Macaca fascicularis: one gene and its partner. Each later gene encodes a partner of the first gene's protein in a complex. Links are inferred from orthologs where the notes say so. Each region holds a gene or a part of one and is shown in the gene's direction. Other genes may lie near its edges.

Region 1 (4,578 bases):
CACTCTTCAGCCAGTGGTTTCCATCATAGCCATGATTTGACCTTGTTCAAGGTGAGCCATGTGCAGATAATCAAGTTGACTGAGTGCAGATCGGAGTTGTGCTGCTTAGGAGCCAGAGGCCTGTGTGCTGGCCTGAAGAATCCCCTTGAACCTCTGCAGGAGGGTTTGGGCTGCCCTTCCCACTGCAGCTTCTACCTTGCTCTTCATGCTGGCTGTCAACCTGACTGGTTTCTTTGTCAGGCTCTTTACCTTCAGGATGGAGACAAGAACTGCCTGGTTGCTCGCTCAAAGTGCTTCCTGAAGATGGGAGACTTGGAGAGATCCCTGGAGGATGCTGAGGCTTCGCTCCAGAGTGACCCAACTTTCTGTAAGGTGACTGCATGGGCGGGAGGACTCGATCCTGCTATTGCCTGCAGCAGCTGCGGGTTACAAGTAGTTGTAACAAGTAGTTGTTACAAGTAGAAGCAGCCAGACTGCCTAGTGTTTGATGCCGTTTTCTCTTCGTAGGTCATTGCCTAAGTCCCTGCCCCCTGTATTCCAACCTTGACCCTCAACCCAGGACCCTTCTGTTCCACCACATGTGAGTCCTATAAGGCCTTATCTGTTCACATTGATTTGATTTCCTCCCATTCCAGGGGATTTTACAAAAGGCTGAGACACTGTACACCATGGGAGACTTTGAGTTTGCCTTGGTATTCTATCATCGAGGCTACAAGCTGAGGCCTGATCGGGAATTCAAAGTTGGCATTCAGAAAGCCCAGGAAGCCATCAACAACTCAGTGGGAAGTGAGTGGCCACAGGGCCTATGCACTTATCCAGGAAGGTCCTTGGAATCCTTAGGTTTAGAGGAAGGCTGAGGTACAGCAGGTGAGCAGCCACCACCAGGCCTGCAGGGAGTCCCACACTTGGATTTGGCTGCTGCAGTGTTGTTGAGGATTAGTTGGGCGTGGTGGCCGGCGCCACCTGTCCGCCGGGAGGACCATTCCCTGACGAACACACTGATCTCTGAGCGCTGCAGCCTTGGGTTTTCCTAAAGGTCAGCTTAGAAGGGCTGTTTCGAAGTAGGCCTGTCTTTAGCCTGGTGTCAAAAGCTAGAACGCGGTCCTGAGCCCAGCCTTCTGTAGTCCCTGGCTTCCTCCCTCACCACACGTATACCAAGGGCTGGCCTTAGCCATCAGCATTAAGGCAGGGGTAGAAGGGAAGCAAGTGAGAACAAGTGAGAGCTTGCTCTGTGGGTGGCAGGGCCTGGAAATGGACAGTTTCCCCTGTACCCTTGGCCTCCCTTTGTCTGGAAATCTGGCTGCCATAGCCTTGGGCTAGTGGGGGCTGTTAGCTCCTAGGAGTTATACCAAACAGCCTGCACCATTTGCTTACTAGGCTGGCTTAAGGCCAGCTTTGCCACAGCCTCCACCATCCCCCTGCCAAAGGCAGCCATTTCCACCTAAAAATATGTTATAGATCATGCGTGGGGGTTCTGGCCGTGGGGGCCTGGCCGACCTGAGCTCCAGCTTCTTTCCTTGCAGGTCCTTCTTCCATTAAGCTGGAGAACAAAGGGGACCTCTCCTTCTTAAGCAAGCAGGCTGAGGTAAGGGCCCTGGTTCTGCGGTTGTATCCCTCCAAGGGAAGAGGTTGTGTGTGCCTGAGAAGGGGTCTTGGGAGTCTAGCTGCAACCCGACCAGGCATACTCCATGGCTCTTGGCCCACAGAAAGGTCCTGGAGTTGGAGGAATCTGGGATCACAGACCATAGGGCCATGGCTGGGTATATTCTGCTCCTTGCTGAAGCTCTGCTGGGTGTTCCTCCATTTTCTTAGACTATAAAAGCCCAGCAGAAGCCTCAGCCCATGAGACACCTCTTACACCCCACCAAGGGAGAGCCCAAGCGGAAGGGCTCACTCAAGAGTGAGAAGACTGTTCGCCAGCTTCTGGGGGAGCTCTACGTGGACAAAGAGTATCTGGAGAAGCTCCTATTGGATGAAGGTTTCGGACAGTTTGTTGGCACAGGGCCTTGGGGGAAAGGAAATTTGGGTGGATGCTTCATGCATGAGCCGAAGGCAGAACCTGTCATATAATATTAGCTGACATGTACCTATGGACGGGTTTTATTAGCATTCTCATTTTACAGATGAGGAAACTGAGGCGCAGACCAACGGAAACTAAGGTCACATATAGGTAGGCAATGACATGGCTTACATTCGAATCCAGGAAGTCCAATTTTAGAGCAATGCTCCTAAGTGCTATGGTACCCTGGGAGGGAACAACAGAGATTTGGTCTCCTTTACCACCATAGTCCCTGAAGGGACATCCCCTTTGCCTTCAATCTTTACAATGGGCAAACGAATCCAGCACACAGATGCTTGAATCCGAGGATATTAGTTCTAGGATGTTCTGAAACATCATCTGGTCCAAGTACTCCTTTCATAGATAAGGAAATAGAGACCCTGATTGGGGAGGAACTTTTACAAGTTGACAAACAAGTTCGTGGTGGAGTCACCAGCAGAACCCAGGCCTCTGACCTCCAGTCCAGTGCTCTTTCTTTTAAAGACAGAGTCTTGCTCTGTCGCCCAGGCTGGAGTGCAGTGGAGCAAACTTGGCTCACTGCCACCTCCATCTCCTGGGTTAAAGCGATTCTCCTGCCTCAGCCTCCCTAGTAGCTAGGATTACAGGCACCCACCACCACGCCCAGCTAATTTTTTGTATTTTTAGTAGAGATGGGGTGTCACCATGTTGGCCAGGCTGGTTTCGAACTCCGGACCTCAAGTGATTTGCCCGCCTCAGCCTCCCAAAGTGCTGGGATTATAGGTGTGAGCCACCACACCTGGCCAGTCTAGCGCTCTTCCCACCACACTGCTGCCAGTGACGGGATGAAGGACAGAGGCCTGAGATGAACGTCTCGCATTAACATGGGGATGGGAGTATTGCCATTAGCTGATAAGCCTGAGCAGGGTCACCTGTGAACCAAATGCCTCTTCTCCAGAATTGGCTTCCCAAGGTCATATGTAGGGTTCCCTGTTCCGTGACACAGGAACAGCTTCACTGCTGGCACATCTCCTTGGCAACAGGCTGAATGCCTCCTGTTCTCCAGAGGACCTGCTGCAGAGGGAAGGGGTGGCTTGAATATTACCTCAAGTGGCCTTGTAGCTTTGCTACTGGCTGTAACCTCTGGCCAGGCAGTGAGCAGGAGTTGGGCACTCCCCTTCCAGCTCCCAGCATGCACAGGCCCACTGGGCACCTGGGAAATCACTGAGCACTGGCAGCCTGGGCCAGATTGTGCATTTAGACCCAGTGTTCTCTGAGGACACAGTTTGAACTGGGGAAGCCCCAAGGCTTCTCAGCGAGCCATCCACCAGCTGCCCCTTCTGGTTAGCTCCTCATATCTTGCCATAAGGTGCCCATACCATGGAACTCCCTGAAAGTGGGGCTCTGGCTGCATCCTGGCCTGGATAAACCCACTCTGCCACCATGCGCACTCAAATTCCTCTCTGTTTCAACAACTCCAGGCAGAGCTCTTCACAGAGGGCCCTGCAGCAGCTACCGGGAGGCAACAGGAGGCAACCCCCTTAGAGGCCTGTTCTCCTTGGCGCCTCCTCACACCCCTTCCCCACAGACCTGATCAAAGGCACCATGAAGGGCGGCCTGACTGTGGAGGACCTCATCATGACGGGCATCAACTACCTGGATACTCACAGCAACTTCTGGAGGCAGCAAAAGCCGATCTATGCTAGGGAGCGGGACCGGAAGCTGATGCAAGAGAAATGGCTGCGGGACCACAAACGCCATCCCTCACAGACAGCCCATTACATCCTCAAGAGCCTGGAGGACATTGACATGTGTGGGTGTTGTTCTCAGAGGGTGGGGCAGGTGCCTCCAGTGCCTTGTCAGGTGGGGAAGGAGCAACCAGGTGTCTGAGCCCCTGGTCTCTCTGACCTGCAGATGGTGTCTGCAGGAAGAGGAGTTTCCCCATCAGCCAAGAGGAGGCTGCCCTGGCCTCCACAGCACCCCTTTCCTTTCCCAGTGCTCACAAGCGGCAGTGCTGAAGGGAGTCTTCAGAAAGCCGAGAAAGTGCTGAAGAAGGTACTGGAATGGAATAAGGAAGAGGTACCCAACAAGGATGAACTGGTTGGAAACTTGTATAGCTGCATAGGGAATGCCCAGATTGAGCTGGGGCAGATGGCGGCAGCCCTGCAGAGCCACAGAAAGGACCTGGAGATCGCCAAGGAATAGTGAGTGCCCTAGGGGAGGCCACTGGCGTGAGCCTACAAAGAAGGACACCTGGGGCTATCTGAGGCCCTTGCCAGGGCTGCTGGTGGCTTGACTCCCATTTTCTGCTCTGCATGCCCGAGGTAGATTCTCCCGGAGGTGGGGACCACCTGCCCAGGACTGAGGGTGGGGGCACCTAGACTGTTAGCTTCTTTGCCACAAAAAGGGTAGTGGCTCAAAATTCCAAAAAGCTACCCAATGATCTGGCTCTTAGGGGTGTTTATATTCTTACATCATCTTGACAAGCACGCATGAAGCCCCAGACATGCCAGATGCTGCTAGTGTGGGAACACAGTAATAACCAGACACAAGGGTCATTT
Region 2 (5,183 bases), on another chromosome or scaffold:
AAGTGAGCAGTGCAGCAATCTCTAGGAATTAAGTATTTGCTACAGCTCTGTGATCTAACAGAAATCAATAAGGTGTCACAGGTAAGTATAATTCAAATATGTCCAGTCTTTCCCTTTTGTTCTCTATGGTTTCAGGAATTTCACTCTTCTAGACAAGGGGATATGTAGAAACACTATTTAAAAAGGCTACTGTTACAAATTCATAATCACCATCAATTCATATCAGGTAGCTGTTGTTAGGTCATTTGCTTTAGGATAAAATACAGTCCATGCCTTTACCAAGCACCCTTTGCTCTAGTTTCAGACAGCATCCCAATCCTTCATTCCAAAAACAAATGAAACAGTAAAGAGAAACCAGAGGCCCTGACATTGGAATTATTTCATTTGGGATTATTATTCATGGTTAGTAGAATTTTTCTGCTTCAGTCTAAAAATGCCAGTATGTGTACAATAACATAGTTTGTCATTTTCCCCTCTGAAGTTAAACAAGCAGGCACTCTGGAGAATACTGTAGATTTGGTGCTCCTGGCTGAGCCACCCCTTTTTGTTGCTGCCTTAGCTGAAAGGGAGGTATCCCCTCTGTGGTCAGGAAAAGCAGAAAGTCCTCCCACACTGAAGATGTAAGGACTATCCTTTGTCTGCAGACACAGAACCTGTCTTTCAAATAAGTCAAGGACCAAGGTTACTGAGATATTTTCCAGAAAAGCAAGATTGGGCTGTATCCCACACCCAAGTGGTAGTTGTCAGCCCCTGTTTTCATTGGGGGGAATGCCTATTTAAGCAGTATAAAAATTCCTAGTGACTTTATTCAGATTCCACAGACAACTTCCACCTTTTGAGAGTGAGATGAGGGCAGTGGGAAAAGAAAAAAAAACTACAGTCACAAGCCACATAGCGCCATTTAAGTCAATGTCAGACAACATTAGGACAGTGGTCCCATAAGATATAACACTGTACTGGAACACTGCTCCTTCCCCAGAGTGCTTAGCACTCTGTCCTAGCTGCCTGCAGCATTCCGCGCAGTGACCTGCTGTGCAGGTGTGCAGCCCAGAAGCAATGGGCTGTACCATACAGCCCGGCGTGCAGTAGGCGAGGCCATCTAGGTTTGTGTCGGTGCACCGTGATGTGCACACACTGATGAAATCTCCTCGTGACCTCAGAACGCATCTCCATCCTTAGACAACCCGTGGCTGTATTCCAATTTCCCCTTGCTCTCAGAAACACAACTAAAAGCTTGAAGACCTCAGGTGACAAACTGCCTCCTGTTACCGCACCAAGACTGACAGCCTAAGCGTGGCTCCGCCCAAAGAGCAAGCTCCTCGCCCTACGACAGGAGGCCCGGCGAGACAGTCCTCTGGACAGCACCCTTGCTGTTTTGTGACGCTGCTCCAGCCCCCAGGATGTCCAAGATCTTAGGCTTCCCTTTGACGCGTGACGCTCACCACCCGAAACACCTCTCATACAGCGTACACACCACATTTCAGATTTTAATCATTTACACTGCAATCAAGCAAAAAGGTTGCGAACTCAAAAGCCAGCAACAACTGAACATTTAAACTCCAACGTCCACAATCAGAATACAGCCCTCAAGGCGGCCAGCTGGGACCCTGCAGGCAGCACCGCGCACGCAGGACCTAGCGCACGCCGCCGTTGAGCCGATGGGCGGAGCTCAGTTGTTGCCATGGCCACGTCGCGGGCAGCCTGGGAGCCAATCCGCGGCGGATCGAGCCGTTGCCTTGGCTACACCGTCTGTTAGGGCAGCGCACGCTATCAGTGACTGAGACCTCACCGCGTTGCCCCAGCACCAGGGCTCGCGGGGGTCCCGGGAGAGTCTCGGCAGCCGTGCGCCCCGAGACCCCCGCCGCGGCCCCATTCTCTGAGGGCCAGGCATGAACCGCAAGAAGCTGCAGAAGCTGACAGACACCTTAGCTAAAAATTGCAAGCATTGTAAGTAAGAATCTAGTGCTGGACAAGTCGAGGCTCCTGGACCGAACCTGGGTCCCACCCGGTGCCAGGGTCCGCTGTTCTGCCTGCTTCCGGCCTCCTGGGCTTGTGTGGGCTACCTACCGCCCCTCCACTCCGGCCCCTTAGGCGTAAGTCAGTGGGTGAATCCCCGGGGTGCTAGCTCCTTGGGTTTGATCTTAGGAACCCAGGCCTCCACCTCTAGTGCTACCTACACTCCCACACATGCATTTACTTGCTTCTCCAAGCCTCTTATTTTACCTGATAGAAACGTGATGTTAGCCTCAGTGAGGTGTAAAATAAATGCTAAAACCCACTGGTCTCAAGAAAAGTACCACCACCAACGTGCACTCACCCTGCTTTCTAGCTCGCATATACACTCGCAGGTACAAGTTCTGGAAGCTTACCAAGAGACCCATAGGAGAAAACGGTGCTCAACTTCTCAACATCTTTAGGAGATGTTAGTTGTGTCATCTCATCTGTGCCTCAGAACAAGATTTGTTTGGAAAACAGAGTTCAGCACAACTAAACACGCGGAAAAGAATGGATTCCCAACTTTAGACTCCCACTTTCCTGTGGCCCCTAGTGTTGAAAGATAAAGGAGACTTTGCAGGTGACAAGATGAGCCCTATTTGAAGGCACCTGCTCTAATCTCGCATTTGAAAGGGTGGTACTGGAATTTCATAGGAAACTTTGAGTTTATATTCAGACTGAAAAACATAATTGCACTTGAGCAAGGAAACCGTGGGTATGGTTTAGATGAGGAAGATATTGCCTGTCGAGCAAACTTAGAAGTTGTGTGTTCATTGCAAATCTACTGGTCACTTGAAGAAACAGAAGCAACAATTCCCCAAATATCTGCATTGCTCAAAGAAGAAGGAATAAACGTGTTGATGTAGTTTTAGAGATCATAAGATCTAGTGCATTCTAATTATCATTAGTGTCTGATTTAATACCTGGTAAGAAATGCTCTCTTAGTGGGATGGTGACGTAAATGAATGTTATGGTATGTGTAAGCATCTTAAAATGTCTAGGAAAAAAAATCCTGTAATTTAAGGTATTATTATGACTACTATACTCTGATGAGAGTTTTGTTCTGTTATTGTTTTTCTTAAAACACTTTCATTTCTGGGAGAAGAATAGGTATTCTTCTAGTAAACATCTAGTAAACATTTTTGATAAATATTCAAAAACAATGCAATAGCTGCTATACACAATACTGATTTTGTCCCTTTCCATAAGTTTGAATTTGAGTTAGTCTCTGTTCAGTAAGTTTGAATGCATTGCAAACAATCATTCTGTAAACAATCAAAAGGTGAGTGTATATTTTTAAAGATAATTAAAAATATGGCAGGAAAAAGTCTACTCTTGATTTTTTTATTTACTAAAAAAATTTTAATGAGTCTTACAAACTTAGATGATTATTACAGTCTATAGAAATAGTTATAAGTCATGGGTATTATAATAATTTTAAATTTTCTTTAACAGAAGGAACTTTCCCCTAAAGTTAAATTTTGTTTTAGTTGCAAGACAATAAAACTATCAAGAGTCAATGGATAAATTTTGTAGAATCAAAGAAGAGTGAAAGATCTTAAGAGAGCATCTAGTTCATGCACCATTCTACAGATATGTTCTGCAGGACACATTTAGAGCATTCCAAGAAGATGAAAATCTGTTCTTGAATTTTCTTCAGTTTCATTTAATATTGTATTCTAGAATTTAAGAAATGTTTAGCAATAAAAGTTTTCTTATGGCTAACCTTTGATCCTTTGGGTAATAAATTAAACTAACTTTTTAAAATTTTTATTTCAGCTGAGATGGAAAAATGGCTAACCAACATCCCCTCTACTACCATTTTATATACATGAACAGAGTACATCATTCTTCATGCAGGTTTTTCTTCCCCAACCACTAATAGCTCTTGCTTTTTAAGAGGTTTGTGTGTGTGTATATGCGGTTACATGTAACATGAAATTTACTATTTTAACCATTTTAAGTGCTTACATCCTCCTCCAGAACTTTTTCATCGTCCCCAGTGGAAACTCTACCCATTAAATATTAACTCACCATTCCCTCCTCATCCTAGCCCCTGGCAACTACCATTTTACTTTGTCTCTATAAATCTGACTAAGTACCTCATATATGAGGAATCATACAATATGTGTCCTTTCGTGCCTGGCTTATTTGACTTAGTGCAATGTCCATAAATGTTCATCTATGTGTCAGAATTTTCTTCCTTTTTAAGACTGAATAATACTTCGTTGTATGAATACGCCACATTTTGTCTATCCATTCCTCCATTGATGGACTCTTGCATCTGTCTTTTGACTGTTGTGAATAATGACACTATGAACATTGTTGTGCAGGTTCCTGCTTTCAGTTCTTCTGAGTATGTATTTAGAAGTAGAGTTCCTGGATCATACGATAATTGTGTTTAATTTTTATGAAGCGCCATCATACTGCTTTCCAGTGACTAACAGCTGTTTTTAAAATCATAACCATTATATTGTTTCCTACTGTTTATTTGCTGAATCTTTTTTCCCAAAGTTTTTAGTGTTTCTCTTTAAATGTGGTTCTCCAAACCAGATATCTCACAAAAGCCTGTACTGACCTCTAGGATGAGGTGTGATTTTTCCATTCCTAGATGCTGTCTTCTGTTATACACATGCAGGTTTTGTCCTTGTTTGTTAAAATGCTCAATCATAGTTTTGTCTGGTTTCTAAATAAATTTTCCCCAACTTCCTCCCATACTTGGTATTTGGGCTTTTATATTATCAAGACCAGGCAATAACCCTTCCACCTACATTCTCAAATGGGGATTGGAACACAAATAATTAACTCGGTATTTATAACCATGGTCCTTTATACAATAATGTGTATGAGCAAGTATCTGTGTGTGTATATATCCTTTAAATAAAAATGTCCTTCCTCCAAACTATTACTGAATACTTGCATGTCAATTTTTACATAATCCTCAAGAAGAGCCATATTGGGTGCTAAAATATGCTTTAAAGCTTTTTATTGGAAAACTGGTGACTCTAGTTTCCAAAATCTGGCTTATGAATTCATGAAGCCTAAAGTGAAATGAAAATCGTTACCTAGTTCTCATGAACCTGACATCTATTTCCAGGGAAAAGAAGTTGTAAATCTCATGAATGCCATAGTAAAAATATTGAGAAAAAGTTACCATTTTTTAATCTTACCATTCTTATTTTGAGTCA

The links.
Region 2: ODAD4 (region 1) and CLXN share a complex: the UniProt entries of both Homo sapiens proteins name them as parts of the outer dynein arm-docking complex. The link is inferred for Macaca fascicularis from reciprocal best matches to the Homo sapiens genes ODAD4 and CLXN.

Annotation. Positions count from the first base shown.
Region 1 is NC_088390.1:62,976,865-62,981,442, forward strand, and holds part of ODAD4 (outer dynein arm-docking complex subunit 4), read left to right. Parts: intron 1-240; coding exon 241-372; intron 373-507; exon of another isoform or gene 508-580; intron 581-635; coding exon 636-786; intron 787-1,523; coding exon 1,524-1,585; intron 1,586-1,812; coding exon 1,813-1,978; intron 1,979-2,067; exon of another isoform or gene 2,068-2,170; intron 2,171-3,605; coding exon 3,606-3,830; intron 3,831-3,931; coding exon of another isoform or gene 3,932-4,013; coding exon 4,014-4,221; intron 4,222-4,578. UniProt on the Homo sapiens protein: Component of the outer dynein arm-docking complex (ODA-DC) that mediates outer dynein arms (ODA) binding onto the doublet microtubule. Plays an essential role for the assembly of ODA-DC and for the docking of ODA in ciliary axoneme.
Region 2 is NC_088382.1:58,624,532-58,629,714, reverse strand, and holds the start of CLXN (calaxin), read left to right. Parts: upstream 1-1,779; 5' UTR 1,780-1,889; coding exon 1,890-1,947; exon of another isoform or gene 1,948-2,093; intron 2,094-5,183. UniProt on the Homo sapiens protein: Component of the outer dynein arm-docking complex (ODA-DC) that mediates outer dynein arms (ODA) binding onto the doublet microtubule. Seems to regulate the assembly of both ODAs and their axonemal docking complex onto ciliary microtubules.